2 linked regions of the Oreochromis niloticus genome follow. The protein of the gene in region 2 interacts with the protein of the main gene of each other region in a pairwise test. Links are inferred from orthologs where the notes say so. Each region holds a gene or a part of one and is shown on either strand. Other genes may lie near its edges. The genes, in order: sf3a3 and tada2a.

Region 1 (3,928 bases), on a different chromosome or scaffold from region 2:
GCTCCCGCGGCCCGGATCGCCTGTTTTGTTGGCTATGTGTGAAGAGTTAACAGCAAGACAGCCTCGCAATCTTTATACCCGCCGAAGAAGATAAAGCTGAAGGACACACTTGTTCGACATCTCTCCTCTCCAGCAGCGGACCTCAGTGACCGCTGCCAAATCTGCTCCAGCACAAAAGACAGAATGGATGCCCCCGCCACCACCACGACCACCCCGCCCCCTTCCCCACAAAATAACCCAATAAATCTTCGTTGTCTTCATAGAGTTGACTCCATTAGCGAAGAATATGAGCAGCTCACCTTTATAAGCTGGCTGGACGTATGTGTTATAAGCTCCACTGTTTATTCTGTAAATCCGCAACGCTGCTCGTCCGCTTCTTTTTACTGTCCGCTGCTTTGACTGACTGCTTGAGAATGTGGTGAAACCGCGACTGTCACGGTAGCGACCGTTACGAGCACAGTTTCCGGTTTAATCTGTCAAAATAAAAGCCTGTGGCTTATTTTCCCCGAAGACTGCCTATAAAAAATAAGATTCATATGCTGCAATACACTTTAACTCAAATGAGGTTAAAAAATTACACTGGCGATCTGTTAAATCTCAGAAGTAATTTTTCACTTGTGCACGAGTAGACCTGAGGCTTGTAATGTCCATTCACCCAATGTCAATACTCATAGAATAGTTTTGCACTCGTTAGCCTATTTGCTTTATCTTCCCTGATCCTACTGTGTAACATGTTATTTCTAACCATTAATTTTTAATTTGGATTTTATTTTGATACCAGTGAAAATTGCCGAAAAAAATAACAAGGAATAAACAAAAATGTCAGTCTATAATGCAAACTAGTTCAGATTTTTTTAACTGAATCAAGCAACTGATTTAAAAAAAAAAAAGCCCTCCGAAGAAGATGAGAAGAAGAGGATGAATGGACGCATTTTATGTTAAGACACAGAGTTCACACTTCCGGTCTATTTCTCTTTTACCAATCCGACGCTTGACGGCTCCAGACTGCCTTCGTGCGCGCGCCTACGCCAGGGTGCGCTGTGTGTTATGTCAGGCTTTGATGATAGTGTAGACTACAAAGGAAGTGCAAAGAGAATACCGAGCACGCGGCACAGACCGTGCACGGTGTGGTGCCAACCCATCACGTTGAAAAAGTGTACTTTTCAGAAGCAGTTTTTACATTTCAGTAATGTAAAGACCAGGGATCCTCTTGAAAGGAATTGCTGTTATGCCCATCAACTCATCTAGCTAAAAAGGTCAAAATATAAACGAAACCATTACTTTCAACAATTTGTGTCAAAGGATTTCACGGTAATTGTCTAAAAATAAACTGGAACCAGTGTTATTATTAACTGTCGAAAGGCTTCAGATAAAAAAATATAGAAGTATTGTACACAGACATTACCACGGCGGAACCCTTCCACGGGTTCATGTTTCTCTTACGGCTAATACAGTGCGGGCCGTTAGCTCGTCGACATGCGCCATTGAAAACAAACGTACAAGATACGGCGGGTATTGCCGCTTTCCTTCATTTGTATTCTACCCCATTAGAAACCTTAATTCGTCTTTAGCAAACGTTCGACATTTTTGCGGACAATGGAAACTATATTAGAACAACAGCGTCGCTATCACGAAGAGAAAGAGAGGCTAATGGATGCTAAAACTAAAGAAATGTTACACAAGAAGTCGACGGTGAGTGGTGCCACTTAAGGCTAGCTTTAGCATTGTTACGCTTGGTCGTGAATCCCAGAAACCCTGAAATTAACATTTTTCTGTGTGTTTTTTTCCAACTCTCGTTTCAGCTGCGTGAACAAATAAATTCTGACCATCGAACAAGAGCGATGTTGGATGTAAGTAAGAGTTTGGACTCATTTAAAACTGCTCTCACCAACTGGCTAATAGTATTTGCTGGAAATTCAACGAATAACTAACCTTTCATAAAACCCCAGTTACAATTTTGTAAACGTGCAAAGAACAATTTATTAGCAGATTTGATGCATTTTCATACATTAATCACAGAAAAGAGGTCAGATAAAGAATGTAATCAGATGTACTGAATGAAGCGGTGTCACAACGAAATGACACTCCAAAAATCTGCCCCAAGTGCATCAGAGGTCATTAAAACTAGGTGTAAAATATAAATGGTTAAAACCTGACTTCAGAGACGCACATTGGAGACAAAGAATCACTTTTGATAATTAGCAACTTTTCACTGTTAATGGTCAACACTGGTAAAAAGGTATCTGTGCTTCTTCTTGCAGAGGTATATGGAAGTGAGCGCAAATCTCAGAGACCTGTATGAAGACAAAGATGGGTGAGTGTTTTCTTAGCGAACAGTTATTTCCACTCAAATATAGATATGTTGGCTGGACCTTTGTGCGGTTACAGGAGTGGAGGAACAAACTTTTGAGCGGTTATTTGAAAAGTAGACCAACTAATGGTGTATTCACATGAGAAGCCTGAAAAATCTTGTGACAGTCAGGATGGGGACGTATTTCTAAGTTGCCCTTTCTTACATGTAGCACATGACGGGAGATGGTTAACGTCAGCTCCAATCTCACCACTTCTGGAAATGATGTGAATCTGCTATAGCAGCAGTCCCAACCCCGGGCCTCGGACCGGTACCGGTCCGTGAGTCGTTTGGTACCGGGCCGCGAGAGTCGAGGCTCAGGTGTGAAATGTATGGTTTTCAGGGTTTTTATCGGTTTTCAGCGTTATTTTGTTATCGTTTTTATCGTTAACTCGGTTTTCCTGGGTCTTTTCACGTGTGTTATGAATAAAGCTTCTTTTTTTCGGTACCGGCACTAGTTTTATTTTGTTGTATTTATCCGCGACACCTTATTGCCGGTCCGTGAAAATATTGTCGGGCATAAACCGGTCTGTGGCGCAAGGTTGGGGACCGCTATGCTATAGGGCTGTTCAATATAACGATATATATCGGATGACGATATAAAAACATCTATCGTTTCATTTTACGCTATCGTTTGTTTCGTGGTGTCGCAAAATAAGCTGTTTACGGCAATATTTTTTCATTATTTTGATGGTCACTGTAGTGGCTATATTAATTTCTTAAAGTTCTCTCTTTCTCTTATATTTAATATAACCACACTACAGACAGACAAGCAACTGTTTTTATCCGTTGTCGTTAGCAACAACGACGGTGAAACCACCTCGTGTCCGCTTGTTTATTTTCCACATAAACCTTTCACAATAAAGCTCAAGATCCTGTTGAGACTTTTCAAAATAAACTGAATTACATGAAAGAGTATGCAGAGTGTTTATGGATGAGAGTCACCAGGTGCTAAAAAATAAACCTTAGACTCAAACGTTAGAACAGGCTTTTCCCCGCAGCACGCCGTGTGATAAATACTCACAAAGAAAACGGCGGCCGTTACAACCTATGTCTAAAAATGTATAGTTTCATGCATCGGTTAAAACACTCGACTCCAAGTACACAACCCCAAGCTGGAAACACTTCCCGGAAGTCGAGCTGCCAGAGATTGACAGAATTTACAGAAAATGTTAAATTTTAGTGATTTATATCGTTATCGGGACGATAGATGTCTTAATATCGGGATATGAGATTTTGGTCATATCGCACAGCCCTAATCTGCTAGACTATTGCCTGCTCTACTGTGGCATTGTTGTTGTTCTCTAACTTGGGATTCACACACACACGGGTTTATTCACCAATCTAGTAGCAAATCACTCAGAAACACGACAGCTAGATGACAATAAGAAATACTTTATTTATCCCATATTTCTCAAGTTTTGTTGGTGCAGGAGTTTAAATGATGAGGAAATAATAGTAATATCACAAAATGCCCCTCTGTCACACACAGGAGACCCATCGTCAATGAGAATAGCGCTACACCAAACCAATTGTGTGCCTCTTCTAGACAGGTTGCAGTAAGCAGCACAGAGGAGC
Region 2 (3,928 bases):
CTGAGAAAAGTAGATAGAAAATAAATAGGGGCCTACTGTATAAAAAAAGGTATATTTGAAAGACTAGTATGCTCAACTGAATATATACTTACATAGTAAAAAGAGGATTAACAGAACTGCAAGAGTAAACTATTTTTGTGGGTATGCTGCAACTGCTCAGGCTGTTGTTAGGTAGCTGCCAGGCAACATGATAAATATACAAATACACAAAATCTCTGTGACTTTGTTTGTCCACAAACTGCTTTTACACTCTCAGGAGTTGAGCCACCAAACCAACCTTAGGCCCCTGAATGTCCTTATATATATATTTAACCAGATAATATAATGACATCATGTTGCCTAGCAACCACATACCAACATCTTTAAAAAAAATGACCCATTTGTAGCATTTATGCACATATGTCCTTATAAAAACATTGTACCATTTTAATTTCTTGATCATAAAATCAAATTTTGCAACATCTCCAAATTGTGACCCTTACAGTAACAATGTTACATCACTTGAGTTAAGCTTACGGCATTTCAGGATTATATCAAATGTTTAATGTTGGATAAAAAAAACTGTTTAAATGTACTTAAGGAAATGGGATTTGAAGCCATAAATATGCAACTATTATGAATAGTTAAGTTATAAAATCCTCATTTACTATATGGGTGTGCAATTGGTTGAACAAAACCTTAAAGGTCCCTTAACCATACATAGATGTAGCTACATTTTGCTCTATATAAATATACAATCAGTCCAATATTTACTTCCTATTTATTTACATAAACAACATCCCATCCCAACATTTTTTTCAAACTTTTCTCAGTTTGATTAAGTACATCAGTTAGTCAACAGCATAAACAGGCCAACATGTACTGTCTGTTTTTAGGTGATTCCTGGGCAACATAACATTGTAACATCAGATATAGATAAGAACTTTCAGGTTCCTAAGACACACCTATGTGCCAAGTTTGCTTGCTTAACTCCTGACTGTGTAGGAGTTTGCAGACAAAGAAGCAAACAAGAGAAATTCTCTGCAACATTTCGTTCACTTGTTATCTCAGCACTATGTTACTGTCGGTAACAGATGTTTGGAGCTTTTATTATGCACATGATCTGAAAAATTAGCTTTGAGACATGCAATTGCCATTAAATGAACCATTTATGTTGGAAAATAGTTAGTGGTTAGCTTTGCTGCCTAAGAGCAAGTAGAAGCTGTGTTTGAAGCCACAGGCCAAATAAGCCCTTTCTGTGTGGATTTTGCAATGTTCTCCCTGTCACTGTTGATTTCTCTAGATACTCTGGCTTCCTCCTAAAGTCCAGAGACTGCTTCTTAGGTTAACTTGTTGTTCTAAAGGGACAGTAGATGAATGTGAGTGTCCACAGTTGTCTGTCTCTGTGTTAGTCCTGCAACAGACCAATGACCTGTTTAGCGTGTACCCTGCCTCTGGAAACTGGACTGCATGCCATAATCTTAGCATGTAGGGTTTTTAAGAAATAAGGACATGTGTATGTAGTTTGAGGAAATCTTACCAAACAACTACAAAATACTAACCAATTTCCAAAGCCACAGTCCATGACGGCTTCAAGCAGGGCCATCTCTTCCTGGGCCGTCCACCCAGGCTCCAGCACGGGGAAATCTGACGTCTGCATAACGGGGTGAAAGATGAACATTCATGTTGAAAGACAGCCACACTGGATAAGATTTCATTTGTTTGTTTGTTTTTTATTTCACTCACCATGATTTCATATTTGTGATCACTCTGGTGCTTCTTGTACTCAAATCCTCTGGTGAAGCACTAAAGGGAAACAAAATGTTTAGTTTCAGTTGGACTGGGTTTGTCTGCAGGTAAATTTAACAGTTTTTGTGACCGGTTCACCTGGAGGCACAGCAGGAAAGGTGACGGTCCACATTCTGCACATTTGATGTAAGGCTCAGTCAGAAACGATGAACAACCTCTGCACGGCGGTTTATCGGAGGGGTCATCTGAAATCACGTGATTTTAACACTTTAAGTCACCAGGTAGGGTTGTATATGAAATCACCTGACATTACTTTACATGAAATAAGCTTACAATGTAAACAAGACTGCAGCTTTCGATTAAATAGGCTTTAAAACGACCTTTAAGCTAAACCACACATGCTAACTTTAAAGCGCCATGTATGATAATGTTTCATCACCGTTTGCAAAGCAGCTCAATAACAAACCGCACTGAAGACTGTTAAAGAAGTTAACACACCGTGTTAGCATCACTGCGCGCTAACGCTAATGTTAGCGTAGCAGAGCTAGCTTAATACAGCTAACTTGGGAAAATAACCCTAAAAAATGATAGATGATTATACTTTAAAGCTCAAGTGGACACGTGTATCTGTAACATATTACTAAAACTTACTTGCAAAAGATGCTAGGCGGTCCATAATATTACGTTTAAATGAAACTAATAACAGAATCGACGTTTAGGTTCCATCTATTTTTCAAAGCTTGCAAGTGACCCTGATTGTGAAGGCACAGCTAATCGAGCTCAGATAACTCAGTACTCAGCGTAGATATATTTTCTATAAGGAGGACCGATAAGACTAAAATCAGTGACTGCAGAAATGGCCCTAAATATTAACTAAGTAACTAACTAAGAAATGTAATACATGTAATGTAATTTGGTATTTATATTACGGCTAGATAAATAGAGTTTATATTATTCCACACCGGGCAAATTTACTTGCTACAGCAGCATAGGGGTCAGAGACAACATGTGAATTAGTGATATATTAGAAAACAATGAAAAAAACAAGACTAACAAAACGGCTAATACTTCAAAAAAAATGCAAAAATCAATTAAATACAAGACTATTTTTTTTTACTTTGCAGAAAATGTACTGTATACACTAAAAGCCAGATCACAGATATTAAAAAAAACAAAAAACATATGTATATAAAGTGCAGTGGGAATGATAATACATACACAAGTATAGTGGTCCGTCCTACACTGTGGCTAGTGCACGGGCCATAACAAAGCTGGCCTTCTTCATTAGAGTATTAAGTTGTTTCTGGTTCTTCCCCAGCAGTAAAACTGCATAAAAAATTGCAAATAGACCTCAGCAGGTCATAAAAAGTCCTCAGTAATGTCCTGCACGACCCAAAAGCCAACTTTCTTGCACATAGCTTTGGACCAGTAATCGAACCACTCCACTATACTTTTAAGGTGAACCCTCTTTTATGCCACCTAAGTACTACTTCCCCATTTATTATTTTTTTTATTCTCTTTGCTTCGTTATTCAAATGAGGGCACTGTCTGCCCTCTGGCAAATGTGTCATGCGGTTGACCTTTCACCTGGCTGGCTCACAACAACTATTAAAAATGTAATCACGATACACAAATAAACATATAAATGTAACAATTATAAAATGTATGAAAGGAAATTTAAACAAGAATATAAATATGTAGTTGAAATAATAATAATATTTAATGGTACAAGGATAGACAAATTAAAGGTAAAATTTCTTTTAATCTTGCTGACAGCTGTTTATTATTGTTTTTTCTATACATGTACAACAGTCCACGAATAATATCAAGCATAATATATAAAATATAATATAAAATATAAAGTCAAAAGGTTTCACAGACACATGGAGATGATCTGTTTCACTTTTCCTCCTTCACTTCTCTTACTGCAGTTTATTGACATAGCCCCAGACCCAGTCCAAGTGAAAAGCGCCTTTATTAAAAACGATATTAAATAAAATTACAGCATGTTAGCAGGCTGGACTTCTTCTGAAAGGATCCCATTTAGAAAAGTGAAATAGTAAAATGAATAAATGAAATCATATGTATGTGATCTTTATTATTTTCGCCACTCTTCAAAGAAAAAAACCCCCTCTGTCATTCTCCATCTTACCACAGGGTGCTGATCTTGGACTATTTCTCTAATGAAAACAATGACTAC

The links.
Region 1: the proteins of tada2a (region 2) and sf3a3 interact in binary tests that used the Homo sapiens proteins (3 or more experiments, as listed by UniProt). The two-hybrid records come from large-scale screens. The link is inferred for Oreochromis niloticus from reciprocal best matches to the Homo sapiens genes TADA2A and SF3A3.

The regions. Positions count from the first base shown.
Region 1 is NC_031985.2:38,727,641-38,731,568, reverse strand, and holds the start of sf3a3 (splicing factor 3A subunit 3), read left to right. Parts: upstream 1-1,103; 5' UTR 1,104-1,596; coding exon 1,597-1,692; intron 1,693-1,802; coding exon 1,803-1,850; intron 1,851-2,261; coding exon 2,262-2,314; intron 2,315-3,928. UniProt on the Homo sapiens protein: Component of the 17S U2 SnRNP complex of the spliceosome, a large ribonucleoprotein complex that removes introns from transcribed pre-mRNAs.
Region 2 is NC_031979.2:27,871,280-27,875,207, forward strand, and holds the start of tada2a (transcriptional adapter 2-alpha), read right to left. Parts: upstream 2,532-3,928; 5' UTR 2,405-2,531; coding exon 2,380-2,404; intron 1,974-2,379; coding exon 1,867-1,973; intron 1,786-1,866; coding exon 1,726-1,785; intron 1,634-1,725; coding exon 1,542-1,633; intron 1-1,541. UniProt on the Homo sapiens protein: Component of the ATAC complex, a complex with histone acetyltransferase activity on histones H3 and H4. Required for the function of some acidic activation domains, which activate transcription from a distant site. Binds double-stranded DNA.